Rattus norvegicus: one gene and its partner. The protein of the gene in region 2 purifies or fractionates together with the protein of the main gene of each other region. This does not show direct contact. Links are inferred from orthologs where the notes say so. Each region holds a gene or a part of one and is shown on either strand. Other genes may lie near its edges.

What was found. The genes of interacting proteins can lie anywhere in the genome.
Region 1: the proteins of Zc3hc1 (region 2) and Cul1 purify together in Homo sapiens (affinity purification with western blotting; 3 studies listed by BioGRID, with this or other methods). This does not show direct contact. The link is inferred for Rattus norvegicus from reciprocal best matches to the Homo sapiens genes ZC3HC1 and CUL1.

The regions. Positions count from the first base shown.
Region 1 is NC_086022.1:77,592,349-77,598,687, forward strand, and holds part of Cul1 (cullin-1), read left to right. Parts: intron 1-1,753; coding exon 1,754-1,804; intron 1,805-2,314; coding exon 2,315-2,405; intron 2,406-3,064; coding exon 3,065-3,228; intron 3,229-6,339. UniProt on the Homo sapiens protein: Core component of multiple cullin-RING-based SCF (SKP1-CUL1-F-box protein) E3 ubiquitin-protein ligase complexes, which mediate the ubiquitination of proteins involved in cell cycle progression, signal transduction and transcription.
Region 2 is NC_086022.1:59,974,660-59,981,098, reverse strand, and holds the start of Zc3hc1 (zinc finger C3HC-type protein 1), read left to right. Parts: upstream 1-1,762; 5' UTR 1,763-1,788; coding exon 1,789-1,934; intron 1,935-3,892; coding exon 3,893-4,004; intron 4,005-6,439. UniProt on the Homo sapiens protein: Required for proper positioning of a substantial amount of TPR at the nuclear basket (NB) through interaction with TPR.

The sequences.
Region 1 (6,339 bases), about 18 Mb from region 2:
AGGCCATCCTATACCATTTAGAAGTGCAGGCCAGCCAGCACTACATAATGACACCTTGGCTCAAATAAATAAGTAAATAGTAGACAAGAGTCAGCTACTTTTATTACTTTTAAAATCTATTTTCAAACTCCACACTTTCAGTTATCAAATAGTGTAGCCACTGTTTGAAATACAGTATGCAGCCATAAATTCTAACAGAGGACAGTCAGTACCCTTGCCTAGAAATAGTATTCCCATCTGTGTTTCAAGTATGCTGCTTCAAGACCCTGCTCATTTGCTAGCTTGTATCAAAGCCCAGTCTAACAGTTAGAATCTGTGGTTTTATTAATGGCCCAGTCTCCAGCAAATGTGACTGCTTTGTGGGTTCAAGGTCAAGACAGATGATAAAGCTTTTCCTTTAAAAACAAAAAACAAAAAAAACCCTCTTTTCTAAATCCACCCCCCCCTTTAATTAGAGAAAGTTGTTGGTTTGCTTCCAAATCACCCAGAGGATATAAGCTGATTTCATTGTATGTTGAAGTGCTACCAGCAAAATTGTTTCTGTTACCCTGTTGTGAGATTTTTTTGTTTTGCCTTTTATAGCTTTTGACTGCTTTTGCCCTTTGGTTTTATTCCTTTGAAATGACAAATCATCCAGAGTCAGCCTAGGTCTGTCTAAGGTGGGGTTGCTAATTTAGAAAGTAGTTAGAACAAAATCTTTTTTTTTTTTTTTTTTTTTTTTCCGGAGCTGGGGACCAGGACCTTGCGCTTGCTAGCACTCTACCACTGAGCTAAATCCCCAACCCCTACAAAATATTTTTTAAAGTGTAGGGATTCTGTTAGAAGCTAATACCATAGCCTGATATTTTCACTGCTGCCTTACTCCTGTTTGAAGGCTGAAGAAGCAGGGAAGAAAAAGGTTGCTTTTCTCCTAGACAGTGAGGCTGAGTCTTCCAGTACCTTTGCACACCCCAAGCAAGAGTCCCAATAATGCTGGGGCTAGCAGTGCATGCCTTTAACCCCAGCTCTGGGATGCAGAGGCAGGTAGATCTCAGTGAGGCTAGCCGGGATTACATAGGGAAAAAACAGACTCCTCCACAGAAAAAGCATTAAATATTGATTTTTATGGCATTTATTTTATTGGAGACACCTATTTTATTCATATACCTAGTACCTACATAAAACCCATGAGCTTGGGCTTGCTGCTGCCAGTCTCTTGGCGAGAGAGTTAATAAGGTGGAGAGTGATAGAGCAGGATAGGTAAAGTCCTCGCCTCCTCTCCATCCACCTGTTCTGCATCTTCATGTGCTCATGTGAGCATCTTCCATGTACACACAAATGTATGTTTCACACGGTCACCTGAAGACACAAAGTACAGCGGGAGGTCTTGATTTGTGTACAAGAAACTGCATTTAAAATGCACAATCAAGATAGTAAGATTTTTATAATCTCTGAAACATATCTTGTTGTGTTAGGAAACTGTGGGAGTGACTAGAATTATTTTTATCAGGTGTTCCTGGTCAAAACTGGTCGGATCCAGGGAATACATTTATAGGTTGAATCTATTGATGGTTTTTAAGCTGATACAAATGTCCTCCTTAACTTAGAATTTTCTGAACCTTGTTGTTAAATGTAAGAAGGTAAACATCTATACAAAATGATTAAGAGCAGCTTTGATTTCATTGTGATATCTAAAGATTTATTAAGAATTCAGATTGTTGTCAGTGACAAGTTTCAGGGATATTCAATACATCTTTTCCCCTTTTTCATCCAGCTTGCGTTGGTGACATGGAGAGATTGTTTGTTCAGGCCATTGAATAAACAGGTATCTACTATGGGATATGTCTGTGTTTCCTTAAAAAAAAAAACTTTCCATTTTTATCTTCTCAAGCTTTTTGACTATCTCAAGAGTATTTGTTGGGCTGGGGATATGGCTTAGTCTGTACAGCACTTGCTATGCAAGCATGCGAACATGGGGTAGATCCCCTGTACCCATTGGAAGAAAGCAGGTATAGTGATGCCCACTAGTGACCCAGCACTGGAAAAGTGTGGTCAAGTAGATCCTTAGTGCTTCCTGGCCAGGTCCCGGCTTGCCTCCTGAATGAGCTCCATGGCACTGAGTGGCGACTGTCTTAAAGGCACGGTCAATTACTCTTGGCAAACAGGTTTGGAAATTGTCCTCAGTCTTTGCATACACATGCATAGACATGCATGTACTCATCCCCCTAAAATATTTATTACCTTGTATTATTTAGTGACTTAAAATGTTTAAAGGATATATAAGATACATTGTGAGCTGTATTATCTGCCTTATACCTTTTGTGTGTTCTTAAAGGTAACAAATGCTGTTTTAAAACTGATTGAGAAGGAAAGAAATGGCGAAACCATCAATACAAGACTGATTAGTGGAGTTGTACAATCTTATGGTAAATAATTTGCCTTTATTCAATAGTTTTTGTATCACATGACAATTATAATAGTGCTCTAATATTAATTTAAAATATTTATTAGAAATTATCAGGAATGTTAATTCATCTTTAAGGTACTTTTAAGTAATTTTATAAATCATAAAAAATATTTAATCTTTGTACTTTAAGGAAATTTTGTGGAAAAATTGAATTGTATTTCCTTCTCTGTTTTCATGAGGAATTACTTATATATAATTGTTCTTTTGAGCTACATGATAACCAGAAACTATATCAGCTTGAAAAATTTGAGATTGAGATACTGATTAAGTGATGCTTTGTTGAAGCTTGGGTGGGTTTGCATTTCTGTGAAAGTTTACAAGCAATATTTATATCACTTTTGGAAGTGCAAACTTTCTCTAACTAAACTTGTAATATTGGAGTATCCCTGGCACAGGTTAAGGATGATTTGCTGCTATACATCTTGGAGTTCATTCTTTTTATTTTTTCTTTTATTAAAACAAGCATACTTTAGTACTAGCAAATAATAGTTACCTTATAACCCTCCATTTCACATTGATCTTTTAAGTGTAACTTAAACTGACTGCTACACTAAAGTATTGTCTGTAAAATATAACAAAAAATATGGTAATTGAAATATAGCTCCTATTTATTTCTAGTGGAATTGGGACTGAATGAAGATGATGCATTTGCAAAGGGCCCTACGTTAACAGTGTATAAAGAATCCTTTGAATCTCAATTTTTGGCTGACACAGAGAGATTTTATACCAGAGAAAGTACTGAATTCTTACAGCAGAACCCAGTTACTGAATATATGAAAAAGGTAAGCTTAAACATAATATAAAGTAGATATAAGTTAAATAGTCATCACTCCTCCAGGGAGTTCTTGGCATTGCAGTGTTCCTCACTTGGCAGGCTTGGCACTGCAGTCACACCATGTCAGCAGGTTTCACTCTTAGAACTCTCTGAAGAACTTTTATAAATTGAGACTCATTAGTGAGTGTTCCCTGCATATACAAGGAGATGCCTGATAGTAGCTGCATGCCTTCCATGTTTTTGTATCGTCTCCCCTTGAAGCGTGGACCTCAGGATTTTATGTCAGTGAGAAAATACACAGGTATTCCTAGATTTGCTACTTTTTTGTTTTTGCTGGTTTTCTCCTAAAATATTCCCTAAGAGTCATAGTTTAGCCCTTCAAGATTAAATTAGGAGGGAGGATGTAAATTTGACTTAGGAGAAGATCCAAGGTGGAGCCATGTATTCTAACTTGCTCTTTACTACACGGTGCTTCCATGACCTTCTAATAGGAGTTATCTTTGCTCTCTTTTTGGGAAATTCAGGGATTCTGGATATTGGGTCTGAGGAACGACTATGTCGGGAGTTGACAAGCTTTCTGCTATATAGTACTGGCCAGTAAATAATCTTTAGGCTTCTCAGCCTATATAGGATCTCTTCTGTCATTGTTCAACTGTACTTTTAAAAAACAAAAGCAGTCATGGAAATGTAGAAATAAGCCGGAAACAGGTGCAGCAGGATTTCCCAGCAGACTACAGTTTGATGACCCTCTCACCTGTATGTACTAAATTTTTAAGAGTCTAGGTCATACCAATCTAATACCTACTTTGCCCTCTCTTGGGCAGGAAATGGACTGCCAAGTCATTTCCGTGTTTAAAGAAAGAAAATATAGGGTTGGGGATTTAGCTCAGTGGTAGAGCGCTTGCTAGAGGCCCTGGGTTTGGTCCCCAGCTCCAAAAAAAAGAAAAGAAAAAAAAAAAAAGAAAGAAAGAAAATATAAGCACAACCACTCTGCTTCTGATACTTATTTGTTTTTTTCTTTTTTTTTTTTTTCGGAGCTGGGGACCGAACCCAGGGCCTTGCACTTGCTAGGCAAGCGCTCTACCGCTAAGCTAAATCCCCAACCCCCTCTGCTTCTGATATTTAGAGAAAGCCATGCCTAGCTTGCGGTGTTCACAGTGTATCTTCGTATGGTGAGCTAATACAGTGAATATAAGTGGGCCTTCTAAGTTTGAAATTAAAATTCAATTACACATTTCTGATATCTCAGAATTCAACAGAAGTAGAACTAGTATATGTGGGATAGTGGTGGTTCTTTGTAGTAGATCTTTGTTTTTTGTATGTGACTGAAACCTAACCAGCTCCTTAAGGGTATTTGAGACATAATCTGTTTTGAATCCTGGTATTGCTCATTATTTAGTTTTGTAGTATGACTGTAGTTTTTATAAACAGGCCTCTTACTGACTCAGTTTTAATTTTTTTTGCACTTTATTTTGTATATGCATGTGTATATAATGTGTATATAATGTGTCTCTGGGTGTGTACATGAACAATGTATGTGTGCCATGTTAGCATATGCATAGACTGTTTTTTTTTTACCATATAGGCACCAGGGATCGAGTTTAGGTCATCAGGCTTAGCAGCAAGCACCCTTAATACTACTGAGCCATTTTGCCAGCCCAGTAATGATTTTTTTTTCTTAAGCTATATCTTTAAAGTAGAATCTTCCCTAACATTGCACACCTCTATGGTGCCAGCCTGCTCTTTGTAGACGACTTTATGATCTGTGGTGATGTCTGCTGCCCATGCAGATAAGAGTAGTAGTAGTAGTACCTCAGCATGAGGAAAATAACTTTTAGGATAGTGCTGCATATACACTCTAAACAAGGAAGTCTGTTTTTTGAAGTTTGGCAACTTCAAAAGTAACAGTGTCTGGTGGGTTGGTGCTTGCAATCAAACCTCTCCTTCACACTCCAGGAAATTCTCTAAAAGCATTAAAAGTTTGGTCCTGACCCACTTAGAAGTCTTACTAAACACAGCTTGTCATCTTGTTCAGGGAACCCATAATTCAGGGTCTACAAAACAAACAGTATAGAGGTAATCTTATATCCTTGTATCTCAAACTGGGTCACCAGTTTTCAAGATTAAAGAATGACCTTAACCGTTATGTTCCTTAGTTTCTTCACCTGTGAAAGGAGAATAATATTTTAGTGAACGTTACTTTTAAAATAATGTAAAAGGAGATTTGAAATTATGTATGCGTTGAATATCTATATTAAAGGCTCTATAGAAAAGTGTAGCAAAGCAAACATAATGGAGGACTTTGACCTTACACATGCATACCTCAGAGTCTCCAGCTTGTGCCTGGGCAGGCATAGGACTGCCAGAAAAAAGTTGACAATTTCAATAACTTGAGGAAAAGTTACATTGATATTAAAAAAGTTAAGTAATACAACATCCCAGGAATAATTTTGAGGTAAAGATTAGCTTTCAGGAAATATCGTGCTTTCAATAGCCAATTTGGGCTAGATATTACAGTCCCTAGAGGTCTCTGTTCAGTTTGCTGTCATCAGGTACGTGTATTTTAGTGTAAACAGTTACTAATGGTTGGTCCATCCATAGATGCCTTTGATGGCTGAAAAGTTACAAGCCATATTTACACTTTAAAATTAATCTCGTGATTGAGACTAATCTGACTTAGAAAAAACAAAAAATAAATGTTTGAATATTTTAAATTTCTAATTATTTTATTATTTAAAAATAAAATATGAGCTTAAAAGATTGCTCAGGGGGTTGGGGATTTAGCTCAGTGGTAGAGCACTTGCCTAGCAAGCACAAGGCCCTGGGTTCGGTTCCCAGCTCCGGAAAAAAAAAAAAAAAGAAAAAGAAAAAAGATTGCTCAGCAGTTAAAAGGGTAGGTATTGCTCTTGCAGAGGACTTGGGTTTGATTTCCACATAATGGATCATAGCCATGTGTAACCATAGTTCTGAGAGATCCAGCATCCTCTTCTGGTCTCTGTGTGTACTTCATGCATATCCTGTACTTGTAGTCAAAACATTCACATTAAAAAAAGAAAGAAAATACCTTACTAACTTTTCTTTCTTTCCTTCTTTCTTTTTTTTTTTTTTTTTTTTTTGG
Region 2 (6,439 bases):
ATCCTGTGCAGGTTTCTTCCCAACAACCTCATCCTAAGACTGGGTTTCCACCTCGGGAAGCAGATCTCTATGAGTTCAAGGCTAGCCTGGTCTACAGAGTTAGTTCCAGGACAGCCAGAGCTACACTAAGAAACCATATCTGAATAACAAAAACAAGCAAGCAAACAAAATACTGGGGTTCACCCTCCCATCTCTCCTTCTGCTGCTCTATTGAAGAGTGTTCTTTTTAAAAAAAGATTTTACTTGTGTGTGTGTGTGTGTGTGTGTGTGTGAGAGAGAGAGAGAGAGAGAGAGAGAGAGAGAGAGAGCGTGAGCAAGCATAGGCATGTACACATGTTCATGCAGGTGCCTGGAAAAGCAAGGAGGGCATCAGATTCCCTGGAACTGGAATTACAGGTGGTTGTGAGCTGCCCAACACGGGTGCCAGAAACCAAACCAAAAGTACACAGGCTGACTGCACTCTTTTTTTTTTTTTCTGGAGCTGAGGACCGAACTAGGGCCTTGCGCTTGCTAGGCAAGCGCTCTACCACTGAGCTAAATCCCCAACACTGGCTGACCGCACTCTTAACCACTGACTCACCTCTCTAGCTCCCCACCTCCCCCTTTAAAAGAAACGCTTTTGGGTTGGGGTTTTAGCTCAGTGGTAGAGCGCTTGCCTAGGAAGTGCAAGGCCCTGGGTTTGGTCCCCAGCTCCGGGGGGAGAAAAAAATAAATGCTTTTAAGGTTTGTTTATTTAATGTGTATGAATGTTTTGCCTGCCTGTTCTGTATGTGCACCATGTGCCCTTGGAGGTGGAAAGAAAGCCCCAGATCCCCAGAGAAGGGATAGTTATGAACCACCATGTAGATGCTGGGAATGGAATCATGTCCTCTGCAAGATCAACAAATGCTCTTAGCTGCTTAGTCTTCTCTCCAGGCCCACTACCTTTTAAAATGTAACGTAGGCTGACCCTGAACTTTGCAGGTAGACTGGCCTGGAGTTTCTAATACTCCTGCTGCTACCCTTGAGTGGCAGAGACATCAAACAGATGGTTTTCTCAAGACTCTGCAGCCAAATTAGGTCCTCAGTGAGCCTTCTTTGAAGCATGTATAGTCATAATTTTAAAATTATAGGATGGGCTCGGTGGTAGATTGCTTACCTAGCTTGTGTGGGGCCGTGGGTTTGATTCCCCCAGCACTGACATGCACACCTCTCTTGTTCACCATTTTGTCGACAATTCCCAGTACATCAAGGCAATAGTTAATAAATGTTTGCTAAAGAAGGGAGGATGAGGTCAAAGCCATAAACTTCTTCCAATAATAACACAATCCTATGAAGGGTTTCAGATTATTCTCAACTAAACACTGCCATTTCCTTGCCTGGAAAAAAAAATGTAATTTAGGAGAGTCGGTATGACTTTTATTTGTAGGCTGCAATTGAGTCCTTCATCTCTACTGAATCTGGAGTGACTTGGCCTTTAAAACCCTTTACTGTAGTAGCACCCGACTTTATTCCCAGTATTCTGGAAACAGAGGCAGAGGCAGGAGGATCTCTTGAATTCCAGGACTGCATAGAAAACTCTATATATCAAAAAAGAAAACTCTTTGTTAATCTAAATATGCTAATTCATCGGACAAGCAAATAATCTACATTTAGTTTTAAACAATATAATCTTAAATTCTTTTAGATAACCAGGAAAGGGTGGGACTCGCAGTCACTATTTTGATAGGCCGGGGGGCGGGACTTAACTCAGAACGTAAGTTCCTGAGCCTCACAACGCGAGGGAACACAACTCCGGAACGGACCAAGATGGCGGCTTCCTGTGAGGGGCAGCTGTTTGCCGCGGGTATTGAAAAGACTTGGGGTGCAGTCGTTCGTTCCCCTGAAGGGACACCCCAGAAAGTTCGGCAGCTGATAGATGAAGGAATTGTCCCGGAAGAGGGGGGCACAGAACCGTGAGTTGTCCAGGCTGTGGGCGCTGGAGTAGCTTGGGGAACAACGGCCTGGAGCAGGGGGCGGGGAACGCAGGGGGTAACTTCAGTCCGTGACTTGGTGGGTGAGGTTAAATTCTTCCTGAGCTCTGGAAAAAGGCTGGCCTTCTCTGATTGTTTGGCTTCGGAAGCCTACGGTTGTGTCTGACGCCGCATCACTAGCGAAATTTTGAAATAAACCTTTTTTGAGAGAGAAGACTGTTAGCTGAATGAGCAAACCTGACTTCTAAAGCCGTGGGGTCTCACAGTATAGTGAAGCTTAGCAACCCCTTTACCGAAGAACAGTCCTAAGTGTGTAAAGCAAATTACATGGGATTGTAAATGAAACAATCACACAGTAAATTTAGTTAGCAAGATAGTAAAATGAAGTTACGTGGAATTATGCCGTTTCCCTCCCTCACTCCTTCCTTAAATAGTTAATGCTGGGCTGGGAAATAGCTAGCCTAGCGTGCACTGAGCTCAAAATTTGAACCCTAGCACTTTATTCAACTGGTAGCGGTATCATACAACGCTAAGACCTTGGAAGGTGGAGGATCTGAAGTTCCAGGCTAATTTGAGGCCCTGTGCCAGAGAGAGGTGTAGGGATGAGGGAGAGGAGAAAAAGAAATTGTCTAGTAGCATGTCTACAATCAATCATAATTTTGAATTAGTAATACCATGATACTATTTCAAAATATAGTCAGCCTTAATATGAATAAATTTTTTTCTCTTGGTGGCAAATTCACAAATATTTGTTTTATTCGTTTTATGTATGTGAGTACACTATAGCTATCTTTGGGCACACCAGAAGAGGGCATCAGTTCCCATTACAGGTGGTTGTGAGGCACCATGTGGGTGTTGGGAATTGAACTCAGGACCTCTGGAAGAGCAATCAGTGCCCCTTAACTGCTGAGCCATCTCTCCAGCCCATGACTTAAATTTTCTAATTGAGATAGTGTGAAACAAGGGTCCGTGTATGTAACAATATGTAAGCTATTCTTTCTCCTATTGAGAGTTAGATTTATGGGCCAGCAGGATGGCTTATCGGGTAAGGGTGCTTGCCATGGAAGCCTGGTGACCTCAGGTCAAACCCTGAACATCATAAAGGTAGAAGAAAAGATCTGACTCCACAGAGTTCTTCTCTGATTTCTATACACATGCATGGGCACATGCATTCACATATATATTGTACATACACACATGTACACACGCATATTATCCACACTTAAGGAGCTGAGACAGGGACTAGAGAGATGGCTCAGTGGTTAAGAGCACTGACTGCTCTTCCAGAGGTCCTGAGTTCAAATCCCAGCAACCACATGGTGGCTCAGAACCATCTGTAATGGGATCTGATGCCCTCTTCTGGTGTGTCTGAAGACAGCTACAGTATACTTATAAATAAGTCTTATTTGAAAAAAAAAAAAAAGGGTTGGGGATTTAGCTCAGTGGTAGAGCGCTTGCCTAGGAAGCGCAAGGCCCTGGATTCGGTCCCCAGCTCTGGAAAAAAAAAAAAAGAGGCTGAGACAGGAGGATTGCTGAGAATTCCAGGCCAGCCTGGGATATAAAGTGAGATTCTGTCTCATAAATAAATAAATAAATAAATAAATAAAGGAATTATTTCGCTGAAGTGGTTTAAATTGTATTATCAATCAATACCTAAACCCTTGAAGGCCGTACTTTGTGTTTACTAAAGTTATGCAAAATATTGTTGGAGAACTGTGAATGAGCTAGGAGGCTGGCTAAACTGTAGAGTTGGGACTCCCAGATTGAAGAATTTAGAGCCTATTTAGTATTGTGAAGTCGTTGGATATATTAAGCAGAGGGACAGCTTTAGAAACTTAAAATCTAGTTCAGGTTTGATATGTGATGTGTGTGGAATAGTTAGGCTCAGGAGATTTAAGAAGAATGGTACAGAGATCACTAATAGTCCTATTTGGTTTCAGAAAGGACACATCTGCCACATTCCAGTCAGTCGATGGGTCGCCTCAAGCAGAACAGCCTCCACTGGAATCTACAAGCAAAGAAGCCTTTTTTCACAGAGTGGAGACCTTCTCTATATCCTTTTCAGTTTGTGTGTCTCTGCCTGCTGCAGAATTGTTACTATAGAGGCACTGCCTACTGTAGCAGTATGGTAGAGTATAGATACTGCTTACTCTGATCTTTTGTTTTATATGTGTGGGTGTTTTGCCTGTATATTTGTGAACCATGTGCATGCAGTGCCCAAAGTGTCCAAAAAAGAGCATCAGATCCACTGGGATGAGTTACAGCTGACTTACCCACCATGTGAGTGCTAGCAGTTGAACTGGAAGAGTAGCCAGAGCTCTTAACTGTTGAGCCATCTCTCCAGCCTCTTTACTCTGATCTTTTAAACCAAAGAATTAGTATCGGTAAGAACTTTTTTCTGGAAATTAGCACCATTATATAATATTCTGCAAAGTATCAGTTGAGGGATAGATCAAATCTTTTGTTTGTTTGTTTGTTTCTGGGTTTGGGTTTTTTGTTTTCTTTGGTTTTGTTTTTTTGAGACAGGGTTTCTCCATGTAGCCTTGGCTATTCTAGAACTCACTCTGTAGACCAGACGGGCCTTAAACTCACAGAGATCCACATGTCTCTACCTTCCAAGTGCTGGGATTAAAGGCGTGCACAGCCACCACCTGGCTTGGCTTGGTTTGGTTTGGATTGGTTTGATTTGAAATGGTCTGGAACTTGCATCCCTAGACCAACTTCAGACTTGCAGTTCTCCTGCCTTGATCCCAAGTGCTGGGATGATAGGTGGGACCCACCATGTCCAGCTGACCTCTTTTTTTTTTTTTTTTTTTTTTTTTTTTCTTTTTTCTTTTTTTCAGAGCTGGGGACCGAACCCAGTCTACCACTGAGCTAAATCCCCAATCCCCTGACCTCTTTACAGAAGGAAAAAAAACTAAATCCTGAGAGAAGGGGTACCTCTAATGCTTGTGTATAGTATGTTTTCACATGTATGCTTACCTTGGATCTTTAATGACTGTGAAAATAGTATTTTTACTGCCACATTTTTTTTTTTAGTTTGGTTTGGTGAAGGGCAGTGCTAGGAATTGAACCTACTGCCTCATGTATACCAGGCTAATATCCTTATACTGAGCTATGTTCTCTGCCTTGTTATATTCATTTTATAGAGAGCAGATAGGTTACATGGTTTGCCCAAGACATCTGCTAACAGGTAGAGGAGCCAGGACAAGTGTGATGTAATTGAAAGTATGTGACAGCGCCCACTGCCTCCTGCCTCTCCTCCTCCTATGTCCCCACCAGACAGGGTTTCTCTGTTTTAGCTCTGACTGACCTGGAACTCACTCTGTAGGCCCAGCTGTCTTAGAACACCTCCCACGTGCTAGGATTAAAGGCCTGCACCACCACTGCCTGACTTCTTGATCCCTTTTTTTTTTTTTTTTATTCATTTATTATATATAAGTACACTGTAGCTGTCTTCAGATACACCAGAAGAGGGCATCGAATCTCTTTACAGATGGTTGTGAGCCACCATGTGGTTGCTGGGAATTGAACTCAGGACCTCTGGAAGAGTAGTCAGGTGCTCTTAACCGCTGAGCCATCTCTCCAGCCCTCTTGATCCCTTTTTTATATTAGTCATTATTGCATGGCAAACTGCTCTAATATGCAGTGGCTTTAAAGAACTATTATCATAAACTCTGTGGATTATATAACCAGACACAGAGTAGTTTTGTTTTGTTTTATTTTTGTTGTTGCTGGTAGTGGTTGTTTGTTTTATTTTTTCATTTATGCATTTGCTTGTTGTATATGCCATTTGGGGTTAGGGGATGCCCAAGGAGGCCAGAGGAAGGTATCAGACCTAGGGCCAGAGTTACAGGCCTCCAAACATATGTTCTGGGATCCAAACTTGGGTCCTCTAGAAAAGCAGCCACAGGTGCTCCTGTGGCTCTTGAGTATTTCTCCAGCCTAGTGTGTGTTTGTGTGTGTGTGTGTGTGTGTGTGTGTGTGTGTGTGTGTGTGTGTGTGTGTGTGTGTTTTGTTTGTTTAATTTTCTAGGCAGGGTCTTAACTATATAGCTCAAGTTGACATGGAATTCATTATATAGCCCTGAAATCATGATCTTCCTGCCTTTGCCTCCCTGACGTGGGGATTACAGGTGCCTTGGTTCCTTACTACATGGGTTCTTTTGGAGCAGTCCACAACTTGGAAGCTGGCTTCCATCACAATGATCAAGTAAAACAACACTTTGAAAGCCAGACTATTTATTGTTAAATGTTTTTTTTTTTTTCCTTTTTTTTTTTTTTTTTTTTCCTTCGGGGCTGGGGACCGAACCCAGGGCCTTGCGCTCGCTAGGCAAGCTCTTGTTTTGTTTTTTTTGTTTCTTTTTTATTTCTTTTTCGGAGCTGGGGACCGAACCCAGGGCCTTGCGCTCGCTAGGCAAGCACTCTACCGCTGAGCTAAATCCCCAACCCCTTTGTTTTGTTTTTGAGACAAGGTCTCACTGTTGT